5 linked regions of the Daphnia pulex genome follow. The protein of the gene in region 2 purifies or fractionates together with the protein of the main gene of each other region. This does not show direct contact. Links are inferred from orthologs where the notes say so. Each region holds a gene or a part of one and is shown on either strand. Other genes may lie near its edges. The genes, in order: anaphase-promoting complex subunit 7-like, anaphase-promoting complex subunit 1-like, anaphase-promoting complex subunit 4-like, cell division cycle protein 27 homolog and anaphase-promoting complex subunit 2-like.

The links.
Region 1: the proteins of anaphase-promoting complex subunit 1-like (region 2) and anaphase-promoting complex subunit 7-like fractionate together in Homo sapiens (co-fractionation; 6 studies listed by BioGRID and IntAct, with this or other methods). This does not show direct contact. The link is inferred for Daphnia pulex from reciprocal best matches to the Homo sapiens genes ANAPC1 and ANAPC7.
Region 3: the proteins of anaphase-promoting complex subunit 1-like (region 2) and anaphase-promoting complex subunit 4-like purify together in Homo sapiens (co-purification; 13 studies listed by BioGRID and IntAct, with this or other methods). This does not show direct contact. The link is inferred for Daphnia pulex from reciprocal best matches to the Homo sapiens genes ANAPC1 and ANAPC4.
Region 4: the proteins of anaphase-promoting complex subunit 1-like (region 2) and cell division cycle protein 27 homolog purify together in Homo sapiens (affinity purification with mass spectrometry; 16 studies listed by BioGRID and IntAct, with this or other methods). This does not show direct contact. The link is inferred for Daphnia pulex from reciprocal best matches to the Homo sapiens genes ANAPC1 and CDC27.
Region 5: the proteins of anaphase-promoting complex subunit 1-like (region 2) and anaphase-promoting complex subunit 2-like fractionate together in Homo sapiens (co-fractionation; 8 studies listed by BioGRID and IntAct, with this or other methods). This does not show direct contact. The link is inferred for Daphnia pulex from reciprocal best matches to the Homo sapiens genes ANAPC1 and ANAPC2.

Annotation. Positions count from the first base shown.
Region 1 is NC_060017.1:4,025,513-4,030,978, reverse strand, and holds anaphase-promoting complex subunit 7-like, read right to left. Parts: upstream 4,248-5,466; 5' UTR 4,071-4,247; coding exon 4,005-4,070; intron 3,702-4,004; coding exon 3,485-3,701; intron 3,420-3,484; coding exon 3,128-3,419; intron 3,049-3,127; coding exon 2,865-3,048; intron 2,803-2,864; coding exon 2,665-2,802; intron 2,598-2,664; coding exon 2,532-2,597; intron 2,462-2,531; coding exon 2,358-2,461; intron 2,229-2,357; coding exon 2,084-2,228; intron 1,989-2,083; coding exon 1,910-1,988; intron 1,848-1,909; coding exon 1,798-1,847; intron 1,734-1,797; coding exon 1,588-1,733; intron 1,501-1,587; coding exon 1,380-1,500; intron 1,318-1,379; coding exon 1,243-1,317; 3' UTR 1,191-1,242; downstream 1-1,190. Other genes in the region: E3 ubiquitin-protein ligase RNF185-like, read left to right, coding at 1-36, 109-292, 461-572, 630-739; myb-like protein K, read right to left, coding at 4,513-5,135, 5,249-5,466. UniProt on the Homo sapiens protein: Component of the anaphase promoting complex/cyclosome (APC/C), a cell cycle-regulated E3 ubiquitin ligase that controls progression through mitosis and the G1 phase of the cell cycle.
Region 2 is NC_060018.1:3,471,629-3,477,375, reverse strand, and holds the end of anaphase-promoting complex subunit 1-like, read left to right. Parts: coding exon 1-76; intron 77-143; coding exon 144-2,110; intron 2,111-2,174; coding exon 2,175-2,275; intron 2,276-2,333; coding exon 2,334-3,108; intron 3,109-3,181; coding exon 3,182-3,725; intron 3,726-3,784; coding exon 3,785-4,885; 3' UTR 4,886-4,926; downstream 4,927-5,747. Other genes in the region: kynurenine/alpha-aminoadipate aminotransferase, mitochondrial-like, read right to left, coding at 5,139-5,198, 5,275-5,483, 5,553-5,679. UniProt on the Homo sapiens protein: Component of the anaphase promoting complex/cyclosome (APC/C), a cell cycle-regulated E3 ubiquitin ligase that controls progression through mitosis and the G1 phase of the cell cycle.
Region 3 is NC_060021.1:8,252,871-8,258,528, reverse strand, and holds anaphase-promoting complex subunit 4-like, read right to left. Parts: upstream 3,234-5,658; 5' UTR 2,981-3,233; coding exon 2,866-2,980; intron 2,788-2,865; coding exon 640-2,787; intron 618-639; exon of another isoform or gene 557-617; coding exon 492-556; 3' UTR 456-491; coding exon of another isoform or gene 342-455; 3' UTR 306-341; downstream 1-305. Other genes in the region: condensin-2 complex subunit H2-like, read left to right, coding at 42-278, 342-455. UniProt on the Homo sapiens protein: Component of the anaphase promoting complex/cyclosome (APC/C), a cell cycle-regulated E3 ubiquitin ligase that controls progression through mitosis and the G1 phase of the cell cycle.
Region 4 is NC_060018.1:4,688,943-4,694,677, forward strand, and holds the start of cell division cycle protein 27 homolog, read right to left. Parts: upstream 3,301-5,735; 5' UTR 3,102-3,300; coding exon 3,078-3,101; intron 2,944-3,077; coding exon 2,868-2,943; intron 2,807-2,867; coding exon 2,659-2,806; intron 2,602-2,658; coding exon 2,161-2,601; intron 2,071-2,160; coding exon 1,891-2,070; intron 1,835-1,890; coding exon 1,708-1,834; intron 1,634-1,707; coding exon 1,491-1,633; intron 1,423-1,490; coding exon 976-1,422; intron 909-975; coding exon 555-908; intron 494-554; coding exon 172-493; intron 108-171; coding exon 1-107. Other genes in the region: MPN domain-containing protein-like, read left to right, coding at 3,766-3,918, 3,988-4,137, 4,217-4,363, 4,436-4,659, 4,736-4,905, 4,969-5,453, 5,523-5,735. UniProt on the Homo sapiens protein: Component of the anaphase promoting complex/cyclosome (APC/C), a cell cycle-regulated E3 ubiquitin ligase that controls progression through mitosis and the G1 phase of the cell cycle.
Region 5 is NC_060023.1:8,674,367-8,679,772, forward strand, and holds anaphase-promoting complex subunit 2-like, read right to left. Parts: upstream 3,350-5,406; 5' UTR 3,238-3,349; coding exon 3,163-3,237; intron 3,084-3,162; coding exon 2,669-3,083; intron 2,606-2,668; coding exon 2,500-2,605; intron 2,433-2,499; coding exon 2,294-2,432; intron 2,217-2,293; coding exon 2,069-2,216; intron 2,011-2,068; coding exon 1,785-2,010; intron 1,719-1,784; coding exon 1,490-1,718; intron 1,418-1,489; coding exon 1,166-1,417; intron 1,097-1,165; coding exon 680-1,096; intron 614-679; coding exon 314-613; 3' UTR 211-313; downstream 1-210. UniProt on the Homo sapiens protein: Together with the RING-H2 protein ANAPC11, constitutes the catalytic component of the anaphase promoting complex/cyclosome (APC/C), a cell cycle-regulated E3 ubiquitin ligase that controls progression through mitosis and the G1 phase of the cell cycle.

The sequences.
Region 1 (5,466 bases), on a different chromosome or scaffold from region 2:
AGATGCAGTCATTAGTATGTGTGGACATCTTTTTTGGTACAAGTCTAAGGAATGTTTCCATGTTTTCAGAGATTGTGTTGTTTAATTTCCCTGTTTTATTACATGAAGCTGGCCGTGCTTGCATCAGTGGCTGGAAACAAGACCAAACAGGCAGTCATGCCCTGTCTGCAAAGCTGCTATAAGCAGAGATAAAGTTATACCATTATATGGACGTGGGGGCTCAAAAGAAGATCCAAGAGAGAAATTGCCTCCTAGACCTCAAGGTCAAAGGACAGAACCAGAAAATACAGGAGTAAATATTTATATAATTTCACTACATTTCATTGTGTAAATGATGAAGTTGGTAACACATATTGTGTACCCTTACGCAAGTGTAAAATAAGAATAATATTTTTTTATTAACCATGACCAAACATTTCAGACTACTGAATCATTTTCTTTTTCAAATTTACTTTTTCAGGCTTTCTCGAATTTTGGATTTGATGGGGGATTTCAAATGTCTTTTGGAATTGGAGCCTTTCCATTTGGATTATTTGCTTCCACTTTCAACTTTGGTGATCCTGTTATTAGAGGTGAAGATACATTAGAAATCAATCAACCTGGTTAATAATAGTAAAAATCTTGCATAGGTCACGGAGCCCATGGAACAAATCCTGCAAATTTGGAAGACGAACGCTTTTTGTCACAATTATTTTTGTGGGTTGCAATTCTTTTTATCTTTTGGTTATTGGTAGCTTAAACTTGTGGTTCTTGGTTCTTCTGTGTTGTAAATTTTTTATTCTAAAGATTCCCGGGGTTTATACTTTTAATGAAGTATTTCTCGAAAATTTCCTAGACAGTGGATTTATATATATGAAAATTAAAAGTGAAATGTTCAGAGATTGCAAGTCTTGTTAAATGAAATTTTTCCCTTATTAAATAGATCATTCGTGAATAACATTTAAACCATATTTTTTAAAATGTGTAGAAAGGACTAGACTATATATTAATTAAATTAGTTGATCAATTGGTTGTACAAGCTGGTCATCAAGATATTCTTGGGGAGTGAATAACAAAATGAAAATAATTACAGTATACATGAAGTAATCCTCAGAGGACACCTGAGAGAACCAAATATGGAAAAGGTAGGCTAATTAATTTTTCATTTCGATGATAAAATCAATAGAATGCGGGAAGCGCTAATAGGATTATACTTTTTGTAGAAAATGTATTTTTGAGTGATTGTACAAATAAATCATGAAACTACCGAAATTGATCCAAGTTCATGTCGGCCCACATTCCACCCATAGGATCGATGTCGACTTCTTCAATGGTTGGCTTGAAAACGATAGCTTTTAACATATGCATATATTTTGTTTTTCACTTTAAATTGAATTTACCTCTTCATCAGAATCAGGAAGATCATCAGCTTCCAAATCCAGATGATTTTCTAGTTTAGCTACCAATGCGTTTTCAAGCCTATTGATGGCCTCAATGGTTTTTACGTTATTCGGTTCAAGCCTAAAATTACAAAGAAAAAAATTAAACACATGCATAGTATGTGAATATGCAAGTTAAAGTAAAATCAAGTGATAAAGATTCTCGTACATTAGTGCAGAATTGTACTGTTCCAATGCTTTATCCATATCTCCATTTTTTATGAATAGGTCTCCCAAAATATGATGTAACCTGTTTGTAGGTTGCTGATTTATTTGCTTAGTAAGCAGTTCAATGGCTTTTGATCTCTGGCCAGCCTGAAAATAATTGTAGTCAATGGTAGTTCAGTGAGTGGTTCTGTAGGATTGTACAGCTACTCACCTGCTCATACGAGTCGATTAAAAGGAATACAGCTGGAGTGTATCGAGGATCTACAACGGAAAACGTTATACAATTTTTTTTTTACACCGGAAACTATTCATGTTAATTTTACCCATGTTCAAAGCTCTTTCAAGGAAAACCTTGCCCTTTGCGGTTGTAACAGGATCCTTCAACAGGACGGATGCGTAGAGCTGCAAAGAGCAGTCAGCAATTTAATTAATGGCTCATTTGATAAAAATCTGCTTTAAACGAATGATTAACACGAAACACTGTAAAGAATGCTAACCGTGAAAGTGCGAGGTGTATGACCAATATGATGAAGAGAGCTAGCAGCTATATTCATGGCTTCTCGACTTCGCTGAAGCGCTAGATAACAGTGAACTATACCACGATAGATTTCGAATCGGTGCGGAGCTGTCTGTAATCCTTCCCTATTATCATGTTAAACTTGTTGTTAATATTACTATAATTTTTTTTTAAATATTACTAAAATTTAAAAAATATCTCAATAATTAAAAAATATATTTCAATAATTTTTTTTTAAACATCACAGGACTTACCTAAAATGTGTGATAGCTTCAGGCCATTTTTTAAGCTCTTGTAAAATCGTACCCTTAAGGATTAGGGGCTCTATCCCAGGGGTTGGAATGCAACATGTGCAAGCCTATGAGAAATATGTTTGCGCGGTTTTTAAAACTATTTGTAATAAGACCACATCGGCATTGCTATCTTACTTTATGCGCAAGGTACAGAGCGCGAGTTAGTTTGCGTGACAAAAGATAATGGTATCCCATGGCCACCTAATTTGATAAATTAAAATTAATACAGGAACAAGGGTAATTAGAAATAAAAAACAAATAATTTTACCCACGATTCGAAGCTAGAATCAGAAACAGAGATTAGCTTGAGAGCTAGTGCTTCAAGTTCAACACTTTTCTTTTCATTCGCTAAAATGACTGCTAAAATATCCATTCCTTTTAGCGACAAAGGATCGAGGGAATGCGCCTGAACAAACGCAAATATGAGATGAGCACCAGATATTTTTTTTCTCAAATCATTTAACATACTCGTTGAAGCGGTAGAAGGGCGCCCGCTCCATCCCCGGCCAAGAAAAGGGTTGTTCCTTGTGATACCAAATTTGTTACATCATCTTTGAGCAATGATGCATCTTGCAAATGGCAAAAAATGGTAGAAGCACTCAAATATTCACAAGAATGAAGATGGCACTGTCCTTTGATCCACTGAACAACCCTTCAGAATTTAAGGGAAAAAAACGAAAATAAACATTATTCAACAAAGATTTACATTTTATACATATGAGCCTACTCACCAATCTAAGTTATTTGATGGGTTTCCATTAAAAATTAAACGAACAAGTTCAACATAACTAACTCCAAGTTTAATCAAAGCCAATATAGCTTCTAGGGCCAAAGGACATTCACGAATAACCTCTTTAAAAGCAGAAATGGCTGGGCGTTCAAGCCCATTCATAACATACAACTTGCCTAAAGCCATATTAACCCTAACTGATCGTAGTTTGGCTGGGATCCCTTGAAGGACAAGAAGTGCTTGCACTGACTGTTTTAAAGCAAGGTGGCATATGTGCATTTGATAGCGAATCTCTAGAATTGTTATTTCAAACTTATTTAGGAAAAACTTGTTTATACTTTAAAACAGAACATCAAACCTGTTTCAGCTGAAAGCTCTTTGGCAGCACTATTTCCCATCCCCCTTTGTTTAGAAAGGGTTTTTCTCAGATCTAGGGCTTTTCTGTAATAAACTTCTGCTTTTCCATATTCCTTTTGTTCAAGGAATGAATCTGCAAGGTACACCATTGTTTGGGCAATGCTTGCAGGAGGTAAAAGCTCAGGATTGTTATCAGTAGCTGAAAGAACCATTGGAGCCTGTAGAAAAATTCCAGATATTCATTAGATTGGTAATTAGCATAGACTACACTACTTCGTAGTCTATGGTAATAGAATGAAATCTACACTGAACTCATTCCTATTGTCATACTCAAGGTAAAAGTCACCAGTAGCACTTATTCAAAATGGAATAATATGAGTTGTAGGAGTAGATACTACTGCCCAAACAAAAATATAAATGATATAACTAAAACATTTGTTAATATTTATAGCATTGCAATACAATGGTGACATTTAGCTATCGATAACATTCACGGAAAGCACAAGAAACTATATAGTTACCAGAGCAACAATATTTGTATAAAGTTTGTTATCAAACAACATTTGAATTTGCTCGTGAAGAATCATAATGACTAACTCTGAAAGTAATATATATACTCAAAGAGAAGAAAAAAACTATAACACAAACTTGATCAGCAGTCACCAATAAGAAAATCACAATATAAAGTGGTAAAGTGCAGAGAAGGGTTGGAAACGCGTAAAGTGCGGGATTATCGGTACGGAGAGACAACAAACAGCGTAGGCCTACCGGCGCACCAGCGTACTGAATGCTGAATCTACTAATTTCGTTAAAATTATTTAAAAAATTAAATTATTATCTAATCAAATTCAACATTCAGTAACAACATTCAATATTTTACTAACGTAAAACAATGTATATTTATTTTATTCCTTCCTCGACGAGAAACAGGAAAGAGAGATGCAAATAAAATTAAGTGGACGCTTTAATTTAGGGAGCAAAGTGTGGGAACATAAATATAAGAATAAAGTTATTAAAGGGAGGACGATGTTAGAACATGAACGGATTCATCATCGCCATTTGCTGTCGAAGCATCATCATTTGTTGCTGTCGTTGAAGCAAGAGCATTTGCTGCTGATGCATCATTTGTACGGCCTGAACGCTCATTGCCGCATTGCTCCCGAACGATGAATAAGGTAGACCACCGGCGACCATTGATCTATTGGGATCGGTGTAGTATCCTTGGCGGTTGGGGTTGCTTGAAGAGGCCAGATTGGCCAAACCCAAGAGTTGAATCAACGTCTGGTATCGTTGCAATTCCTGTTGGCTTCTGCTCGGCTGCTGCGCCAGGCTCATCTGAGAGAAGCCCAACTGTCCTTGCTGGGCCAACGGATTGACCATCATGGCAGCTTCCTGTTTCGTCACCGTCTGCTTGATTTGTTCCCAAAGCTGAGGACGCTTAGCCGGAGGCTCGTTCAGAAGCTGGGCCATCAGGATTTGTTGTTTGTTAAATTGCTGAGCTTCCGGTTTCACCTGCTGCTGGAGTACCTGCTGCTGGACCAAGAGCTGCTGCTTTTGCGCTTCCAGGTTCTGTTGAAGTTGCTGCAACTGTGGATTGAGCGCCGCTTGCATCACAGCACCAGGTTGGTGGCCGTTCACCATATTACTCTGATCTATAAATGCAAGAATGAAGGAAAAACAAGATAGAGGTCAATCAACTGATCAAACGGTTCTTAATGGCGTGAACGGAATTCGACTGTCATTTGTGTGTCACACGCATACATACTTGTTATGGCTGCCTGTGCTGTTGCAATCTGGTCTTGCTTGATGTGAACCGAAGCTAATAGACCCTGCTGTTGTTTTTGGTTCTGCAAATGGAAGTTTTCCTGTTTCTGTGCCTCCAGTTCGGAGGCTATGGACATGGGGTTGTTGTTGGAGTTGGTCATTTGCTGCAGGAGGGCCAATTGCTGAAGAGGACTTTGCATTCCGGCCGCGCTTCCACCG
Region 2 (5,747 bases):
TTGGTTAGGCAAATCATGCGTTTGTTGGCTGTTGGACGATGAAAAGATTTTGCGGTGTGTCGATCTTAAAGTGACGGTAAAGGCTTTTATTGATACAATTTTTATTGATAAATGACGATTTTTAAAAATTATTGGCATTTTAGGAGAACAGGAACACAGGAAATCCTCTTTACATTTGTTGCGCTCCTTGGACGATTCCCGCAAAGGATGCCGAATACATTCCTGGTCTGAAGGCTATACTGGTACTTGATCCAGTCTTGTCAGACGGGAATAGCCTCACGCTCTACTCTGGCAACACCAAACTGGCTAAAGTTCACGTTCCCAATTGCAGCCCTCCCTCAGGAACGGGTATCTCACTATCCATACAGAGACTAAGTCTCGAGGCATCCAGCAGTAACAGCAAATTCATTCCGTCAACGCCTCTGAATTCAAGCCGGCGGAGCAGCCTCATGCCCGATTTGACTTCGTCGATCATGCACGATTCAAGCGTTACTCTCAGTCCGATTCCGGCCTCGTCTCCTCCACTATCTTTCCGCACTCTACAGGATGCAGTGGGCTGCCAGGTGACACTCAAATGCTCCGATCGAAGTCTTTTAAGAACATTGCTTCCACCGTTATGCACCTCGGCTTTGGTGGAACGTTGTTTGAGTTCATTGCGAGCCGCATTACCTTCTGATATTTATCTGGCTGTCGCTTCTAAATTTTATTGTGTTCGTAATGCACCTGGCCCTTCGGACTTCTCTCCTCCAGCGGAGTTTGATGCCTTCCGTTCTACGCTCCTAACTTTATTGGGATTCGACGCCAAATCACTGGATATATCAATTTCTTCTATTGCCAGCCCCATTATTGAATCGAAGAAAAGTCGGACAAATTTGGAAGAAGGAGCCAACGAAGATTGGCAATATCTGGTGGAGTCACAATACGCTCGGATATTTTCCCAGTCGCTTGGATTAGATACTTCTCGCATCTTTAATCCCATCGGCCAGCAGTCGATGGTGCAAGTCACTAACGATTCGCCCTATTTCACGTATCTACCACACGTTTTGCTCGTGCTTCATCTACTCTTTGAGGACCTCAAGTTGGATGCCCTCTTGTGGAATGATGCCCAACTTTTGGTGACGCTTCTTATCCCTTTGGCTTCAGCTCTCAACTTAACGCAGTACTGTGATTCGTATTGGAGAGATTTCCCGCTCGTTTGGAACACCGCCAATATCAAACTGGGTGTTCTTCAACCAACGGATTTAGATAAACTCCAAGGGATGATTCAGCGAATAGAGGTTCCGTCCAATATTCACAGCCACCTGTTGGCGCTCATGAGTAAAAAGAAGATCCACAGCCCGTATCCACATGTAAAACTGGTCAATACTCGTTCCAGAGATATCATTACTCTCTTTGCCATCCTTTACGGAAGAGCGGATGAACATCATCTGGTGTCTGTTCACGAATACGTCCGCGATTTTGAATGGGTAGAACACACTGGCAGAGTTTCACTACCATTTAATGTTGTAGTTCCAAATGAGGAACGAAGACAGATCGCTTTGGTTTTAAAAATGTCTTCGTGCGGATGGACGCGGGAGGATCTCAACGCTTTACCAGCCGGAATAGGATTACCTTTACGTTATGCTCTGTTCCGTTGCCAACTAGATCCACCGACAGATTGGCCTGACGAAGCATACAAACTGATCAACCGACAAGACATGTGCCAATCCTCGGCTGGCTGCACTGTCCAGGTGTCGCCGTCAACTGCCCCGGAATTGAATTTAAAAATTGAAGCGCAAAGGAGTAAAACAGCCGGCAGTGGGGGTAATAGCAAAGACGACCATGCCGAAGACGGAATGGAAGAAGTAATTGAATTACCCATCTGGAAGTTACTTTTTCCTCGAGATCATCGTATCCAGGAAATTCGTCGTCTTCTTGGCTCTTCTCGACCAGTAGCTGTCGTCCTCCCAGCTTCGCAACAACAAGGACTAAGTGAACATGAATTGATCGAGGAGAGAGAGAAGCAGTTACTTGTACTTTGCATCCGTGTCATGGCCCTGTCTGTTGGCCGTGGAATGCTCACTCTTCACACTGCTACACCCACCGTCACGGAAACTTTGTCTATTCCAAAGTATATTGAAGAATTTTCTATTTTCTCTTCAATTTAGTTTAATCATTTTTCTTGTCGATTAAAGATTGTGTTTAAATGGTAAGACGCCTCACAATGGTGCGGCGGTGGATATGACGCACATTGACGTACCTGCCAATATGTCACTTTGGCCGCAGTTTCACAACGGTAAATCATTTTATTTGTGGCATGGAAAAATGTAACGTCAACTTCAATTTATTCGCAGGTGTGGCAGCTGGCTTAAGAGTGTCTCCGGATTCAAAATATGTCGACAGTAATTGGATTAACTTGAGCCGTGGTGGGAATCGTTCAGGAGCTGCAGTTGGATCAGCTCCGGGAGAGTTAAACGCCGAAGTGGCTGGTTTCCTACTAGGACTAGGAATAACTGGACATTTAAATAAATTCAGCGACCTTGTCATTCACGAGCACTTAAACCGCGACCATGAAATGACGCAATTGGCATTGGTGTTGGGTCTTGGCATAGGAAAGCGTGGCTCTATGGAAGCGGATACTCTTCGAATAATCTCTGTTTACGTCGAATCTTTGTCACCTGCTTCGTCATCCAGCAGCAACGGTTGCGGCGGGGGCTCGATTGAAGTGCCCCAAAATGTCCGTGTGGCTGCCCTCATGTCCATCGGTTTCCTCTATCAAGGATCGGCGCATCGCTACATGACAGAAGTGCTCCTGGCTGAGATTGATCGACCACCTGGACCGGAGATGGATAACTGTGTTGATAGAGAGTCCTATTCTCTTTCTGCTGGTCTGGCTCTCGGCTTAGTGACTCTGGGCCAAGGCGGACAAATGACGGGGTTAGCCGATCTCCGATTAGCAGATACTCTCTATCATTTCATGGTGGGAGGAACGAAGCGCAACTTTAACACGTCCAATGCCCGCCCCAGAAGCATGACGTCAGCTAGCTACCAGATTCGTGAAGGAAACACAGTCAACGTGGATGTCACTGCTCCAGGAGCCATTCTTGCTCTCGGGCTAATGTTTCATCGGTGAGATTATTGTTATTAAGCGAAAAGAATTACATTTTAAGTGTCAACCCTTTAATACGATTATTGTTTTTAGTACAAATAACGCAGCCGCGGCCAAATGGATGGAAGCACCTGATTCACAGCAACTACTCGACTCGATAAGACCAGATTTTCTATTACTGCGCACATTGGCACGGGGGTTGATCCTGTGGGACGACGTAATGCCCACGCGCGATTGGGTCGAATCCAATGTCCCTCCTAATATTCGTCGCTATTCACTACGCAATCCGGGTGATCCTGACAGTCAATCTCAACAAGTCGATTACGAAACTATGAATCAAGCTTTCTACAATATCATGGCAGGCTCATGCTTTGTCCTGGGTTTGAAGTTCGCAGGATCAGCCAATGCGGATGCTTTCAACACTTTGTATCGTTATTCCAAAGTGTTGATCTCGCTGTCGGGTCGTTCCGTTGCGGAATGGGCTGGAAAAGCGACTCTTGAAGCCTGTCTCAACACTCTAGTATTGTCCCTTTCCATGGTCATGGCCGGTACAGGAGATTTGCAAGTTCTGAGGCTTTGTCGTCACTTACGCCTAAGGAGCGGGACCTTTAGTAATGTTGTTACATATGGATCACATGTAAGTTTGTGTGTTAAAAGTGTCTGTTGATCTTTAATCATCATTTGGTTATTTTGTAGATGGCGACTCATATGGCACTGGGATTCTTGTACATGGGAGGTGGCCGGCTATCACTTAGCACGTCGCCGGAGGCAATCGCTGCATTAGTATGCGCGTGCTACCCCAAATTTCCTACTCACTCAAACGACAATCGATACCACCTCCAAGCACTTCGGCATTTGTACGTTCTAGCAACCCAGCCCCGTTTGCTGATGCCTATTGAGATGCCCAACATGCAACCTTGCTACACTAACCTACAAGTGGTGTTTAATGACGCGGATAGCTCATCATTTCAGTTGCGAGCTCCTTGTCTGTTGCCTGAATTACGTTTTCTCCAGCGCGTCCAATTGTTTGATCCTCGTTATCGCAGCATCGTTTTTGATCGACAGCACAACTGGGGCAAGCTGGAATGCATTCTTCAAGGGAAAGACCACCTTATTGTTCAGCGCAAGGCCGGCTGTTTGTCATACACTGAAGATCCTACTGGTTTAGCGTCGTTAGCTACTCCGACCCTTTCGGCCTGGGCTATTCGTGCTTCGACGGTCGCCAATTTCACCACAGACAAGTTCGTCATATTCCTTTGCCGTCACTTTCTCGGCGCGTCAGACCGTGGCCAATCACAGATTCTTATCGAACAGGAGTCAAAACCATTAGAAACGCAACTTCGCCTTCTTAGTCTCATTCTTAATGACTGTGTTGTAAATGAAAAGACCGAGATGGTTAAACCATGGCTCCAGCTTCTACACAAATCTGATCAGAGGGACTCGTCAACTCTTCCGCTCTGGCAACTCAAGTTTCTCATCAACTTTCCCACGAAGAACTTGCCTGCCTCTGTTAATTCAACACCTTTCATCGATCCAGAAATGGTGCTGGCTCTTCGTCACGAACTTGAGTCTAGCTGGGATCACCTTGATACGGAATTGCGCACCAGCCTCAACACTTATCTGTCGGGTAGAGATACTCCCCGTGAACGATCGCAGTCGGTAAAGTTGGCCAACCTAACCGTGTTTTATGACCTTCCGATGCCGATGCCTGAATTGGATTCCGACCCCGTTTCACTGTTGCTTCAATCAGGAGATCAAAAACTAGCTGCTCGTTTAGCCATTCTTCTTCATCTGTGATGGTAAATTCATTGATAAAATAATAAATTATTTTAATCTTGTTCATGGATTTGATTGATGGATCAACTAAGTGACAAAGATTGCATAAATGAGTGATTTGTATTTTCCACTAACTTAAAGTTGCTCTTTTCTACTTGTTCCCCAACCAAAATGATATTTCTAGAAATATCATTTATAGGTATCACTGTATATAGATACAGTATTATGCGTGATTTATTTGAAGTATTAACTCGGGGAATATCAAGATTCTTGATCAATTCTTCTTTGTCAGTTCAATTTCTTCGCGTATTAGTTCAGACAAATTACGGAATCCCTGGAAGATTAAAAGCAAAAAAATCTTATAGAATTCATAGTTTTTTTAAAAAATAATCAATGTTTATCGAAAATACTCGATCAATGTTTTCTGGAGTTGGCAGAGAAAACGACGCCCTCATGTAGGGGCACGGCTGAGATGGATCCGTCATGAATTCTCGGCCAGGTAGTAAAATCACATCTTTTTTCAGGGCTCGTTCCATAATCATCGGTCGTGTGTCACTGATTCCCAAGCATTTGATCCAAAGAAACATCCCGCCTTGGGGTACGTTCCATTCAGCAAGTCCTTGATGCAGAAATATTACTTTACAGGTAAGCTTGTCGATATTCGGCATTTATTTCTTGATTTTTCAACCTGTCAAATGAGTTTCCGCTGCTTTGAGCATTATTTCACGCTGCTGAAGATAAAAATTCTGAACGCGATCAACGTGTCCCATGAAACCTTCCTCTCCCCACTGTTTTAGCAGTTCTGAGACTAGAACCTATTGTTTGTAATTTTCGGTTTCAGTTTGATTCTTCTCTTGTAACGTGTATAACTAGTTAACTACTG
Region 3 (5,658 bases), on a different chromosome or scaffold from region 2:
AACATTTATAATGAAATCGGTCGCATATATTTTTCTTTCAGGAATTTGTAACGTCGACTGAATCGACCCGCCGAGTTCAGGCGTGGCATGATATGATTCAACCGAGACTTCGTGAGGCCGAAACGCGTCGTGATTTTGATATTCACCTTTATGGAAGTCGCATTATAGAGGAATTCGGGTCTGATGCGCCTATAGGAAGCCAATGTGCTTTTACCAAAATTGTTCATGACCAACCGAAAAACGAAGTAGCCAGATATTTTCTCGCCACTCTGCAATTAGTAAGTTTCATAAAAGCTACAGTTCAATTTCGTTTTGATATGCAATTTTATTAACAATTATAGGCAAACGCTTACAACGTGGAAATTCAACTTCAAGATGCTTTAACTCTCGATGGAGTGGAACTAAAACTCCTATCTCGAGAGAGGCATCACGAACACATGGACGATTTCATCTGATGAACTGTCAGCAAGATGTTTGGTCCTAATAGTCCATCAGGGAGAGACGGCCATATCCACGTCGCTGATATCCTTTTGATTTCCTCCATCTTTTGATATATCTGCGATAAAAATGCCATTCCATTAACATACCTTGTTAATAATAAACAATTTGAAAGTTAACCAGGTTTTCACTTTTACGTACCGTGCGATAAGTCTGAAACATCCTCAATGTCCTGATCCTCGTCTTCGACGTCTTCTTCCTCTTCAACTTCCATGTCAAATATGCGAACCTTCCTTTTTGACGAAGAAAAGATAGCGGCAACCTTTCGACTGGACGATAGACCGAGGGTAGTAGCCTGAAAGTCGTTTAAGACACGAAACGAGCTTGCTTCAATAAAGGTATTGACATCCACTGATCGAAGATTGCCTTGGCTGAGAACTGATGAAACGAAAACGTCTGAATGGAAGGACGAGTTAAAAGGTCCTCGCCGTGACACAACGGGAGCCAAATGTTCGCGTAACAGACATAGACTGAGTTGTACGAAGATGCTATTCGTGCTGCGTTCGATCGAAAGCAAAACTGACATAATCTCGTTGTTATAGAACTGCAGATCAGCTATTTTATATTCGCCAGGAGGTAGATGGTCGCACTTGCCAAAGGAGAAGAATGCTGCTCGAGTCAAGTTCTTACGTTCCTTCTCGGAGGCGAATTCAAACAGGTAAAATCCTGAAGAATGAGTGGTCGAATTTGTCAAGCCAAGAAGATTACACCGATCTTTTGGTTGGTTGATGGATCGTGTTGTGATTCTGATCTTGTCCAGACTGTCCGAAGGACAATCTAACGTCAGGTCGGTGATAAACGGCAACGACGCAGTCTGTCCAACAGCTGAAGGGATAGCTTCGAAACTGGCTTTGACCTGATGTTCCAAATGGGCGAACTCTTGAGCAAGAGAGCGTTCAGCACGGGGTTGAAATAAGTCCGAGTCCTGAAGATTCGCAATAGATGGACAAGCTTCTATCAACATGTCCCAGGGTCTAGTTTTAGAGCTGGCAACAAAAGTCAACGGCTCATTCCTCAAATATTGCCCAATACGATCCAGACGTACTTGTCCATCGGTCTCAAAATCTTTGGCGAGGAAGTTGGCGATAAACCGTACATCTTGCTGGGTACTGGTGGCAAGCTCGGGTGGGATAGGCTCGTCCGAGAGGCGCAAGATGGTAACGTAAAGCCAGCGGAAGAATGTCTTGAGGTACTTGACAGAACCATCGATCACCTGTTGAAGCTCAGCGGTTTTGGCGGTAAAAGAGCCGGCCGCCCGGTATGCAGCTAAACACGAATTGACTTGGAGGCCGAGGCATGAGAAACGATCTTCTTGTTTGGCCAGCCCGCAAAGTTGTGTCAAATAGTGCGACAGTTGGTAGTTGGCACACACGATGTGTTTGATGAGCAGTTTCTGCATGTTGCTATAGGATAACTCTACGGCTTGGCCGATTCGTTTCAATCCTTTGTCAGTCAAATCGGTAACAAGAAATTTCTCCAGCTTGATCCCGGCGTGGCCAAACATCAGGAGCTCCATCAAGTCGACAGATAAGCTACTCTTGCCGTCGTTGCTTTCATAGCGAACCATTTTCGATTCGAGGTCGACTAGTGCATCCTCCCAGGCTTCTTGTAGAGCTTTCTGAGCACTGATTAGGCAGTCCATGAGGCCAGTTATCTGCCGATAGAGAAATCCTAGACCGTACAACTCTTTCAAACAATGAGTTATGAGTGGGGTTTCCACAGTCATGAGTAAAACTTCTGAGGATCCGGCACGAACATCGGCTAGTAAACACAGTTGGCTGTGATCACCATTCGGGAAAACACTTCGTACAGGTCCGATTGAATCGCTCCCACCACTCATTTCTGAAAGTTTTAGAAGGCAGCAAGGAAAGAGTCCAAAGGCGAATCCGTAAACTAACCCATTCTTTAGTCCAATCCACAAAATGCTCAGTAATTCTTCATGTTTCAATCCTTTGTCGCCATCAAGTGCTGACCCAGCATCTAGCTTTGAAGAGTTAACTTTCAATGGTTGAGGCAGCAGTTCTGGCAGCAAAAAATTGTCTGCCTCTTCTTTCACACTTGTGCTGCAGTTTTCCCAGGAAAGAGCTGTGATGGGTTCCTCACATGGGTTGAATGTGTGTACTACTTCTCCAGATTCAACGTCAACTAGAACCACATGCCCAGAACTGTATCCTACAGCTAGTATCACACTGTCTGGTCTCCAAACGATCGCTGTGACTTTGACACCATCACCTCTTTTAGAAAGCTTCCAAACTTTGCTCCATGACAACCTTCTCAGAAAAACCTCACCTACAAGAAAATAACATACAAAACAAATTTTATTATCATAGTAACACAATGGGAAAAAGAAGGATTGCAAGTTTTCACCAGAGCTGTTTGAGACGGCAATCAGATCTCGTCTGGAAGACCACAAAAGGATTTCTGTTGACGCAGTTCCAAGAATGTGTTTTTCGTCACTCTGTCTCATCATACACGACACCATTTTAAGCTGATTGTGTTTTTACACGACAATCTCGATTAGACAGAAATTAAGGAACATGTATTTACAACTTTTCGAACTTTTTTTCGGTTTCTTCTCTAGGCAACTTGAGTACATCTAGCGGTCGATTTTTAAACTGCCTGGAAACATTCAGATTTGAATTCTACCTTTTTATTACGTGTTACCTTCAAGTGTTCAACGTTATTCGCTTTTTATTTCAGTCACCACTGGAGGCCAATTGTATCGCATGGCTCTTGACGTCCATGGCTGTAGTTCGTTAACTGAATAAATAGCCACACAGTGTGATAGAATGTCTCCCCAAATTTATTTTTTTAAGGCATTTGCCGCCGCATCTTTTCAACAAGCATAAGCTCGTCTATCCGTAAATGGATGCGAAATTGAATTCGGGTTTCTGGCAAATAGGATAATCTCTTGGCCAAACAGAAACCCAGTTGATAACCTCACCACGTAAAAAATGAGCGCTATTCTTAGGCATCGAGGATTAAGCGAAGCATCGCTCCCGTGCGTTCGCGGGTGCTAAAGAAATCGATCGGAAAATAACGAACTCCCTTTGCGACACGATTATTTACCTTCATGAGAGTTTGCTCTGTTTTCTGCTTGTCTTGTCGCCGGTCGTTGATAATAATAAAACGTCATGCTGCTATATACAGTAGCAGTTGCCTAATATTTTACCGCACTTAGCCTTAGGAAAACGTGTGGGCGTTGACGGGGTCTCCCATTTCGTGCAATGTGCAGAAGCTCTCACGCGCGGGGGGAACACTTCTGCTCCTTCGGAGTGGCACAACATTGATTCATTATTTATTCGTTATCAGCGAATTTGTGCTTTTACGTCTAGACGATTGTGTTTTCGTAGCAACTTGTAAACGAAATAAAAAAAAACACGTAGTCAGATGGGAGAAAGAAAAAGTCGATATCCAAATAAGAAAAATCATCTTCTCTAAATGTATATTGTACCAGTACCTAGCCTATATAGTGCTCCTGAAGAGGATGAGGAGCAACAAGAACTTCGATTTCCACACAACTACTTTCTTTTGCTTGCTGACGTTCTCCTGTTCACACAGTTCAATGATTGTGGATTATGCGTATCAGTGCTCGTTATTCGTTGGACTCTAGAGACTGGAAAAAAAGGCACGATTATGGAGTTGGATCTTATTTGTATTCAATGCAGCAGTCTAGCGGGACCACCAACGTTCTGGTCGGTTTGAGGTGACTCCGGGGGGACACTGCGAACGGCGGGGTAATGCATAGCAACCACCGTCGATATAGACTCGAAATAATAGGAGAAAGGAGAGTTCATCCGTGCCTAGCCAACAAGCAAGCTTCATCCTATATTCAACAGAGATTGAATATTATTCCAACATTCTTTTTTTTAGGCGATTCGGATTTGTTGTCTTTACTAGTTCCTATTTTTAGTCTGGCAGTGATTTTTCCGTTATTTGACATGACCGTTTGTATACATGACTGTCGGGCCGAGATTAGATCATTGGTTTCGCTTTGACCGAATGTGAGACGCTTGAATCGCGCGTTTCTTGATGCAGGCCGACACTCATCAATTCAACGGCAATCGCGTAATTCTCCTTTCCATTCACCAGATAAGCAAACAGCACAGACTATTCAACACAAGGACAAACAGAAGAGAAAACGTGGAAAGGAAAGCGTAGGCGGAATAATATCAATTTTCTATCCCCTTTTCTTTTCCGCATTTTCATTTTTGATGTGCCTTTGCCTGTTTTTAAAAGAAAAATCAATGTTTAAAAATAGAACATAGTACCGCCGTCAATGTATTGCATGATCGATCTAATGTGCCTACGTAGATATCCTTAATGGAACCCTTTTTGTCCAAGTTTTTGTCCTTTTGTTGCTTCTCGACTCGCAAAAAGAAAAGAGCCTGGTAAAAAGAAATCAAATTTCCCCAGCTATATTAAGACTTTATATATAAACGTCCGCTACGTATTTCCTATCCAGAGTTCACGTTTAAAAGCGTCCATGTAGAGCATAGACTTTACCTATACAGTAGGTGTATTGGGTGCACGGGTCTTAATGACGTACGCCCACCCAAGTGTCGTACACCTCTTGATCAAAACCAGTAAGGTCTCGTTTCCCGTTGTGAACTTCAGTTATAGCACAACATTAGCCTTACTCGTTTGTTGTCGTATAAGATACGATCAATGGGCGCATCATCAAATCACTGTCATCGACGAATCGTTTGTTTGACAACGCCAAATTATAAAAGTCGAGCCGGATTCTGTACTCTTCACGTAACGCAAGTCACCGAGTTAAACGAGGTGACGTCAAACTTCGTCAGCGCCAAAACTGCTATACGTGTTTTACATGCTAAAGTCAATCCCATCATTTTATTTCAATCAAAATTACTATATAATCAAGGGGCCTTATAACGGAAGACGAAAACCAGTCGAAACTAGGTCTTTCTCATAACAGTAACTTACGATTGGCATTAAATTTAACCCTTCAACATTTGGGTCACATTTCTCCTATGAAGAAAGTAGATTCTTCTCCTAGGACACCAGAGCAACATCGGACACGGATGTCACTCCCTGCCACCTGATACAGGTTACATCCCATTTTAATTGGATTAACGAACCAACACCCTAGAAAAAGTTCGGAAGAAGAATAAAGAATGTATGGGGAGAGACGAGAAG
Region 4 (5,735 bases), about 1.2 Mb from region 2:
ACCTCTTTGATGTGACGTCTTGCTCCACTTGCTCCTTTTGGATCCAAATCATTTGCCCAACTAAAGTAAGTTAGCGCCAAATGTGTTTCGTTTCTTTTCTTATAAACCTAAGAAGCAAAGAGTAACATGAAATACGACAAAAAGACTAAAAAGACGTTAGTTTGGTCATACATTTCCCATAAGGTAATAAACGAGAGCTTCTCGCGGAGCAATTTCTTTTAACTCGTGCAATTCTGCCAATGCTTCATCGAGTCGATCACAGGCGAAGTAAATAGAAGCACGGTGAAATTTGCAGAGGGGATTGCGTTCTTCTACTAGAAGTGCTGAATTGAGCATTTGAAGTGCCTTATCGGTCCTTTGAAGCGCATGTTCCACAATGGCGACGTGGCATTTTAGCACTGGACTGTTTTTATTGATATCCAGTGCCTTCTTGAAGTAAAATTCTGCCATCGAATAGCGCTCTTGTTTGTAGTAAATTATTCCCATACCGTACCTTTTCACAAACAAAAAGTTAGAACAAATCAATTAATGCTGCTTTGTTAAAGAAGGTTTACCATCCGTTATAATGAATAGGATCAACTCTCACAGCATTTTTAAAGCAATCCATGGCTTTCTCCGTTTCTTCGAGGGCAAGATACTGATGACCCAAAAGAGTGTATGCATAAGCAAATTTAGGATCAACTTGGATTGCTCGTTGGAAAAACTTTAGAGCTTGTTCGCGATCTTTCTGCAAATCCAAGCAATTTCCGGCACAACACCAAGTCGCAGCTGACATTTTGTCTTGTTCCAGCATGTCTTGTGCTAATGCCGAGAGTGACACTTCTTGCTGCAGATGCCAGAGAGCAGTACTATAATACTCCATCAGATCAGTGCGATATGGCTCCATTTCACGCACTTCTTGAAACAACCTTAATAATTAAAAAATATCTGTCAATTTCCTGTCAAACTGTTACACAAGATAAAAGTAAAACTAACCTAGTAGCTTGCTTGTAGTCTGCCAGTTCAAAGTAAGCTTTAGCCATAAGAGAGAGGACCCAGCTTGATCTTTTGTGGCGTGCGGAGAGCCATTCTATTGTGTCAATCGCTTGACGAGACTCATATGAAGTCAGGTGTGAAAATGCTTTGCCTACAATCCGAAGAAGAGACATAAGTCCTTCAGCTGACTGCTTTTGCATTTGGACTGCCTCTTGAATCAAATTTGATGGTGGAGTCTGCACCGAAGTTAAATGAGTAGGTAGGGTAGCTTGTTTCTCATCCTCTCTATCCATTTTTCCTACTAGCTCTGGAAAATCGCTAATAGGTGCTAATCCGCTTTCCGGGGTATCACCTTTAGTAAGTTTGGATTTGCTACGCTTCAGTGGCAACTTGGGCACAACAAAACGAGAGCTACTTTTGTTATTCTCCTTAACGGAATTGTTCGAACTGTGATCAAAATAGAATACGTTAATTAATAATATACGAATTTATATATACACAAATGTTACTGAAACCTGTAAAGTCGTGTACTTCTCCTCACGTTAGCGGCTGGGGGTGAAGACAATGTCGGTGTAGCTGTATTTCCGGATTGGCAGAAAACTCCCATACGTGAAGGCGCGCTTGGAGCAGTGCTAGCTGCTTCACGACGACCACCCAACTAAAAACAGCATAAGCATTTGGAGAGATTATGAAACACTCTATATTATTTGTTTAAAAGGAAAAAAATCATACCCGTTTAGGCATTATCTTTGCTTCTTTTGTTTCAGAGACCGGTGGGGCTAGCGAGGGACACAAATAGACCATCGAACTTTGAGAAGCATCGCTTGCTGAAGACATATCCAAAGGTATGATGCCAAAACTAAATTACGTAAATTAAATAAAGTGTCATCAAGTGAATGGAAACTTAAATTATACTTGGGGGACATGGGAGACAGCGCTTGACCGGCTTTAAAGACTGATCGAAGCCGGAACGACCGTGCTCTGGAACGTGTTGGAGCCATGGTACTCGTCAACGGTATAGAGGGAATCATTTGATCATCTGGTGTCAAATTAGGTATATTGTGATGAATAAGAGGCACACATGGTAGGGGAGTGCTAGAAATATAGTAAAATACACAAGTTGTGTAAAGAAATGGTGATTAAATCTCAAAATAATTTGTGTTTTAAATAATATGCCATGTTTACCTTGTGTTTACTATAACATCAGCTGCAGGGACTTGAAGTATAGGAGTGGAGATTTGGTCAACAGACATTGGTTCATGAGGATGTACTTTAGTGGTTGCATCATGTGATTGATTGATCTGAGCAGTGATCAATGAAGCTATTGGGTTTGTTCCATGACAATGAGAGAAATTATCCAATCCCTCTAACTGAAAGACATCTTCTGCATCTGGTTTTTCACCAAGCCGACAAAGAAGCTCAAAAGCAGCCCACAGGAATGGATTAAGCTTAAGAGCTCTGTTGAGTACTTCTATAGCTTTGAACTTTCGTTCTGTCTGCATGTAAACTTGACCCAACAAAACTAGGGCAAAAGCAGCAGCATCTCCAAATTCAGTCACAACATCATCCAAAGATTTTTGTTTGAAAATATTTCCACCCATCAATGTTCCTTCTGCTTCAGCAAGCCTAAAAAAAAACACATTCTTTAGATTTTAATTATTTTCAATGAGAATAACCACATACTTATTCAGATCTAAACAACATTTGGCTAACAGATATTGACATTGTGGCGACTGAGTTCCTTTTGATTGCAGTAAACTTCTTGCTTGATTCGCTTTTCCTGACCGATAGTAGCAAGTGGCCAGAAGATACAAGCTTTCCTCATTATTAACTGAAAGAAACATAAGATTTATGGAAAAATAACCTTTACAAATTAAGTATACACATAATACTTTCATCCTGAAGTTTCTCAGCAAGAAAAGTAGCATTCCAATAGTTGTAGTGATTAAGACAATGCCAGATAGCCGCCTGCATTTTAGAAAAATTTAACCATTATTGAAAATGAACCAAAAACTGGCATACAAAGAAACCCCCTTCATTGTACACCCTAAATATATGCAATTTTTAGATCACTAAACATCATTGATTAACATGTTACTAACCTGGACAGGTTCTTGTACCAACATGTTGACTAGTAATGAGTTAACATATGAAATCTATGAAGATATACAATCAAGTTTGAATTCCCATGGACGGAAATCAATTTAAGTCAAAATAATTCCACCAAATTGCCGTCGGAGCTTACGTTTTAATGTAACACAAAGTTTTTTTTGCCCCTTCCTCTTTTTAACCAAACCGTTTCGAGTATCGCTGTATCGCCTTCACTAAGTATCGATCAATCTACGATATTCGATGAATTGATTCAAATCGTGATGCTTCAGTTTTGACATTTTTTGACATTTCAACGGTCAGTTTTATCAATCTTATTATTAAACCGCACTTGGACAATTTGCTTTCGAAATTGTCAACAAGTTATTTATTCAGGTAAATTTAAGTGTTGCAATGTATTAACTACTGTCATTTGGCCTAGATTGTTCGAAATAACGTGGTTGTAATTGTAATTATGGTACTGGAATAGGTAAATCAGACGTTTTTTTAATAACAATTAATAAAAAAGGCGCGTAATTCTAAAATATGAATTTTTAGTTAAGTGTTTTTTAGTTCTTCTAATAGTCCTTTTTTCAATTAATCTACTTCAAATAAACAAATATTTTTCAAATTTAATTCTTTTTAGTTGTAAACCTTTTGTTTAGCAATATTAAAGCTGTGTTCTTAATACAGGGCATAAGCATGATTGAAGCATCAGAAGACTCAAGTATTAGTGATCAAGCAGATCCTCAAGAACAACAAAAGATCACATCAGTTAGTGTTGAACACACAAATGAGCAATGTAACATGTCTGAAACCCACAATGCAACATTAGATCCTGAAATGGAAGGAGAGGTAATTAATTAATAATACTTTGTGCTATTAAAATTCCAATGAATAACAATTTTATGACAAAAATTACAGGATAACATGGATGGCAATGAAGATGAAGAACTGAATGAGAAAAAGTCCAAAACTGCTGGTGGATTTACTGGTAGAGGAGTCACATTGCAAATGTTACTTGAAGATAACATCCTTCAACCAAAAGAAGGTGCTATGTCACTAGAGTACATGGTAAACATTATACGATATTTCTTTTAGATTTCTTATCTTCCAAGTTTAAAACTTCTATTCCCTATGTGAATTTATTTAGGGACAAAAATTTAATGGGGACTTACTGGCAGATGGAAAAATTTTTTCTGCTGAAGTTCAAGAAGTCTTTAGTTCACCCTCGGCGTGGGCCTTGCGCTGCAAAAAAATTGTTAATCCCGAACAGAAATATGGTTGTGGTTGGTCATCAGTAAGCATAAAATATGTTTAAATTCTCGTTATCAAGTTCAGTAAATTTAGTTCAGATTTTTAAATGATGTAGGTACGATATTGTGGCAGGCCTTTGGATGTATATAAAAACCAATGGATGCGTAAACGACGTTTAGAACAGGTTAGCGACAACTCGACTCCTGATGATTGTAATTTGTCCACTAATGAGCCTGTACTGCTGGAACCTGAACCAGTAATTCAAATGAGTATGAAACAAACTGTCGGTGATCGACAAATTATAAAGCACGAAACGCTAGGAAACAGGACAAGTATCGAGTAAGTAGACAAAACAATTATTTTAAGTTTGGAGTTTGTTTCTAGTTTCTATTTCTTATTGTCGTTTCGTTACCAGGGATCCAAATTTGTTAGTTGAAGCCATATCGTTCGCAAATATAGGGAAACTTCAACCTTTTCTAATATCGTTAAACACGACTGCTCTTGTTGTAATGGACGTTCATTGCTCTCTAACGCGTTCAGAAGTTGTTGGATATTTAGCAGGCCAATGGGACATTAACACGAACAGTGAGTGCTAACTGATATGTTTAGAAAACACATACCCACAATAATTTGTGTGATTCATTTTAGCACTCACGATTAAACAAGCGTTCCCTTGTTTAAATCGAGTTACGACTGATGATAAACGAGGCCAAGCTACCGAAATCAAAATCGCTCAATCAATAGAGAGTGCTGGACTTTGCTTGGTAGGATGGTATCATAGCCACCCTTTATCACCGCCCACTCCAACTGTGCAAGATATTGATTCACAACTCGAGTATCAATTAAAACTCAAAGGAACTGGTGATCAAGGTTACCGACCTTGCGTAGCGATGATTTCATGTAATGAAATATTCCTTACTATTATATGTTATCATTACCTGTTCACTTTACTTTTTTATTCAGCACCGTTCCATCACGCGGAACCTAGCCAATCAACGTCGACCACTCACTTGACGTGCTACTGGGTGTCTCCTCCTACCGAATCTCGACCACTTGAACTTGGACGTCCTATGGCCATGCAATACAACGTTGTGTATGACGCCACCGTCAAAGATGACGTAGTCCCTAAATTGGTAAGGCAAACTTTACTAGTTCTCTAATGACATTACAACCAATCTTTATTTAACATTTTGCTAAATTAGGAAGCTTGCCTTAAATTTTACCGTGATTCTCCTGACCGCACAAATTTTGACGAAAACTGGTCTGATGAACTCACGATTCTGGATAAGTTGAAAGCGACTTTGAAGTCCAGCTTACAAAGCGAAGATGATGTGATTATCGATTTGGTTGACACACTCAGCAACATGACCAAAGTGAAAACGAAAACAGATCTCACCGACGTAAAATCTCCTGCA
Region 5 (5,406 bases), on a different chromosome or scaffold from region 2:
ACCCCTGTCAAATATTTAAAACGAATGAGGGATTTCAAAATGTAAACCGATTTGTCTGTGCAGTGGGCAAACTTTTTGGCCGTTGTCGATTGTCGTTTCATTCAAACTGAGTGCAGCATCGCCAAATCGCCAGGTGTGAATTCGAAATACAGCGTTGCCAGTAACCTGACTTATTTATGACATTGAAATTTGAAAATTCGAATACAAATATTAAACGTATTTTAACAACTTTTTATTTCATTACAGAGGTAATCACTTCAGAAAATTTATTGTAATGAATACACATTTTTAAATTATCATTAAAAAAATTAGTTCATGGTTTGGGGAGTCTATACATTCCAGAGGAGAAAGACAACAACTGTTGCTTAACTTTTGAATCAAGGAAATTTTTCAACTGTTGCAGAGTGCACTCTGCCCCACTAGAGCCTTGCATTGTAAACATTTTAAGCATCTGGTGAATACGCTCAACTGGAAGGGCTTCGAGATTTGTCAGCATGCCAACAACGTACGACCAATAAACTTGCAAACCATCTTCTTCCGTTTTTTTCTCACTATCTTCCTCGTCGTCATCTTCTTCTTCTTCCTCCATTTTCGCTAGCGTTTCTAAAAGAATCTACGAAAAGGACGTAATTGCAAAATACATACATTTGAGAAACGGTAATAACTTTTTAAGATATACCTTATGTCCTGTGAAATTTGGTCCATTTTCATCCACTTTGAAGCGATCAGTAGAAATTTCCTGGAGGACCCCGTGTGTTTGCCACACGTGAACTCGCCTTCGAAGATGAGACATTGGTAATTCCATTTCCTGGCTAAGCTCTTCCAAATCCCATTGATCCTTGTCTTCAAAATGAGATATGATGGCAGCCAAATCGGGCGGGACGGTGAAAGACACGCAACGGTGATTATCAAACTCCAGTTCCAGTTCCACAGAACCCGACTGAGGTACCCAATGCAGAGAACGACTCGTTTTCACCGTTTTATAGTTTTGATTATATTGTTCGAGCTGGTTGATGATTTTGATCGGCAACTTCATCGGTTTGTCCTTCAGCTGGTCCCAATACTGAGCTGATATAATCATAGCCGAAATCGGAAACTGGATGGAAATAAATAGAAAAAAAATTAACTTTTATTTATCGATGCGCTAAACGAATTAAAAACGTACTTCAGGTTTGTGCACGACCGACTGTAGGTGGGTGTTGATTCTCTTGGAGTCTGCCACGTCCTTGAGCATCACTTCGCAATTGTGCAATTCGTTTTCTCCAAATCGAATTTTGAGAAATTCTAAATTACGAATCTCTTCTTCTGTGTCAAAATGAAGGTTCAGGAGCAATCGATCCGACAAAAGCTTGCGATATTCCTTGACAAACAGGCTTTTACTGCCGTAGATGTTCACCAACATTGGTACAATATCGCCCTTTTAAATAAGAATTTGTTTTACAGAACCGAAACTATTTTAAAAACATCTTTATTAACAAGATGAAATTACCGGCTTTTTTCCTGTCCAAAGTTTGCTAGGATCGGCATCGCTTGGTGCTGGAAGCCAATTTTCCCAATCGGTTGAGGCTTCGGTATCTCCAACTGCTGCAACAGATTCTTCATCCAGTATAGCAGTTCCCGTTCTTCCCAACTCAAGCTCTCCGCCCAGCTCTCCGCTACTGTCAGTCAAACTGTGAATTATATGCCGAACAGTGTCTCCTCTAAGTCGCAAATATTGCCTGTTGGAAATAGTTGAATACATCATAAGCCAAAAGTGACGGATCGAAATTGAATAATAATAATACTTGATCGGATCACACGCTACATCGAGAAGCACGCCAGTGGGATCAAGTACGCTAAACGCTCTTATGGCCGATACGTAGGCGATTAGTATGTCTTCTGTTGTGGCTCCCTGGTGAAGCAATCTTGCTTCTAAAGTCGTTTTAAGAGACTGCGCCAAAATTGGTTTCAACTGCGTCCGTGAAAGGCATTCCTGTAAATCCTTTACCGAAGGAAAGCTCTCGGGGTAGCCTATTACAAGAAAGATTATGAAACAATGAACACAATACATGATTTGGAATTGACGAACCGATAATGATCTCGAATAACTGTTCGATTCTAGCGTGTGTATAGGCGTGGTACAGGAATTGGGTAAAATTTTTTCGCACTTGATCCTGTTGGATGTAGTCTTCTCCATAGACGATACCTAACCACCGAAAAATTATGTTTTGCAACCACTGCAAATGGTTCAGAACAAGAAACGAACAGGGTGATTCAAATGCCCATTAAGACCATTAGCACATTAATAAAATACCTTTTCAAGCATTTCAATTTGAGAAGAGGAAAAGTTTCCTACACATGAATCCTGGACATGTGATTGGATTTGAGTCAAAATGAGAGTGTGAATCATCCCCACAGATAGTTTCTCAAGTATTCCTATTTCAGCCAAAGCCCTAAAAAAATAAATATGATCAAATGTGCTGAAACATAATCAAAGAGAAAAATGTTTTTTTTTTTTACTTGTTGGTGTTATGACAATTGTCTAGAATGACATTACATTCACATTGATCAATTTCTTGGTCACACCCTGAACAGTGAGTGATAACATCACCAGACTCATCTCCATCTTGAGTAGAAAGATGTAAATTAAAAATTCAATTATAAACCTACTTTAGAACAAGTATAATACCAAAGTTAAAATTCCTTTTTTCTAAAGACATGAATGCTCTGAAAGCTCGGCTGTAGAAGAAATTCACACAGCATTCAAACTTTGGTGGTATCTGAGACAGCAAAATTGCACTGAGGTGTGCCTGATATTGGGCGAATGATTTTGGCGTGACATTTCCTGACAGGTGATCCAACAAGGAAAAGTAATGCTGAAGGCTTTTAATGTCGGTGTTCAGAACTTTAACAGCCTCCCTATAGTTTTCGTAACCAGAATTTTCATTCTGAGTCACTTCAAATCTGGACCAAAAATTAGGGGTTATCCTATTTCGTGTGTCATTGAACAGCTTCTGCCAAACCAATTCCTTGCTGAAGTCTACCAAATCATGGTTAACAATGAATTCTGCACATCCTTCAATTTCGGTTCTGTCTAATTCCTTCTGCATGTAAAAATTCAAACGGTGAGCGTGAAACAAGAGTAATGAAACAAATCTACAAGTAACAAAAAAAGAATCATACTTGACATTTTCCATCAAGGTTCAAAGTTTGTTTCAGATAGTCCCAAGCAGATGAAACTGGCTTCACTGTGTTCATTTCGTGCGAAAATTTTGGGTTTTAACACGCTCTTAGAAAAAGATACAATTTTCATAAGAACTTCAGTTCAGACAAAAACAGAAAATTGTTATTTCAAAAAATTTGCTAATTTCGTCTGCTGGGCTACAAATGTCCACCCGCCAAAATAAAAGAACGACAACTAGAGACGACTGGTGGTAACTATATGCACCAGAACTAAGGAGGCGTCAAAAAAAAAAAATACTTTTCCGGATATAATTCTACAAAAAAGCTTTGGGGCTTTAAATGTCCACCTTCAGTATTTAAAAAAGATAATAAATTAAATATAAGTTCAAACGACATGAACATACACATTCAATCTATTAATTCGCGCAAACATCACGCTTCGATTTCACCCGCGGTCGCAGGGTTGAGTCGCAAGTTGATTTACAAGTAACAATTCTTCATCAAAATGTATAAACTAGCCAGCATCTGGTGCAGCACGAAGCTGATGTCATTTGATAATGTGCAGCATCGCTGCCCGGCTCCATGTGATTAATAAATATGCTGCTGGAAACGTTCATCGGCTGCTGGTCAGAGAGTCTGCGGTGTATAAAAGACGAACGATTTCGCAGCAGCACTCTTGTGCTGTTGCCCATGAAATCCAAATAGTATATATATAGTAGGATGATGTGCCAACTCAACCGGGTTCGTTTTTCTCCTGGAAAAGCCACACACATACAATTCACATCTGCCAAAAGCTAACGGTTTATTCTTTCTGCCTTGCGATGAGAGTCCGGGTGTTGCGACGGCGACGGTGATTCACATGACTGGAGTTGACAGCCAACGACAGCGCGACGGTGGTGGCGGAGTCGACAGTTATTGGCGCTCTTATCTGACGACCCATCAGCAAAATACACCGTGAACATGATTAAGATCATATAATAAAATCATAAAAAGAAAAGAAGAGCGATAGGAAATATCGAATCGTATAACATAGTTAAACGTTTTAAAAAAGAAAAGAAACGAAAGTTGATGGCTTTCATTCTCGAATATTCACGCAGCCGTGATCATCACAGCTATTATGCACAGACACGCCAATTATTGTGAAAGAAAACATCACCGAGAATCGATTTGGATGGGAGGCAAAGCGAAAAGAAGTTGGAATTGACCGGGGCAATGATCATCATCATCACGATGACCCGCGATGAAAATATTTCTTTCTAGGTATTTATTTTGAACGCGTTCATCTTTCACGAAGAGGAGGGATTAGCGGAGGACGGAAGGAACTTCATTTGTGTCTTAGCTAGATAGGCGAAGATATAAGAGAATATCTATAATTTAACTCGAGTTAATCTAGAGAAGGCGGCGGGGCTGGCGGTCCGTTGACCTGTTCACGCACCAGCAGCAGCACCGCCGCGTCGCTCCCGCGCCAACCGAGATCCGACCGACCGACCATCCACCAGACATGGAAGAAACGGGAGGGAAAAATCGCCATCCGCATCACACGCAGCCCATTCGGACACAACCTCCTTTCCTATTTATTCGGCTATACATATCATCAGTTTCAGTATACTATAGGCTTCTCTCTCTCACCATCTCTCCAACTCCTCCCGATAGTTATAAGTCTACACTGCTGGTCTTATTTTAGCGTCACGGAGTTGGCCGGCCGTTTACACAGGAAGGAGGCGGAAAAAACATCCGCCAAAAGAAAAGAAAAAAGACAAAAATTACCTCAAAGTCGTTTGAGATAAGCTGTATGTGATTAAAACAACATTTTTAAAAGAAAACAAGGCAATATAACGATGAAACGTTCATTATGTCTACGATTGGCCGAATCATTTCAAAGAAGCAAAAGTATTTTTTTTAATATTTATGGAGTTGTCGGCAACAGCCAAAAACTTCATTTTTTCGCCACTCACGTTGGCCATCTGGTCGTCGAGCCGTGATGGTATTAAGTGAAAATGCTGCTGCGGTGGTGTTTCTCAGCTCTGCCACATTGCGATGCTGTACATATATAACATTCCAAAATGCATAGAATTATGGCGATTCGTGATGATGAAAAGGAAAATCATCATTTTGAATAGGGAGGAAAAATGCGCCTTTTCTTTTAACATTCTCGGAACGGTACATCTATTCAACATTGGCGGGAGTGGAGGAAGGAGGGGGGAAAATGGCTTTTGGTTCGCATGTTTTATATGTCCGGATAGT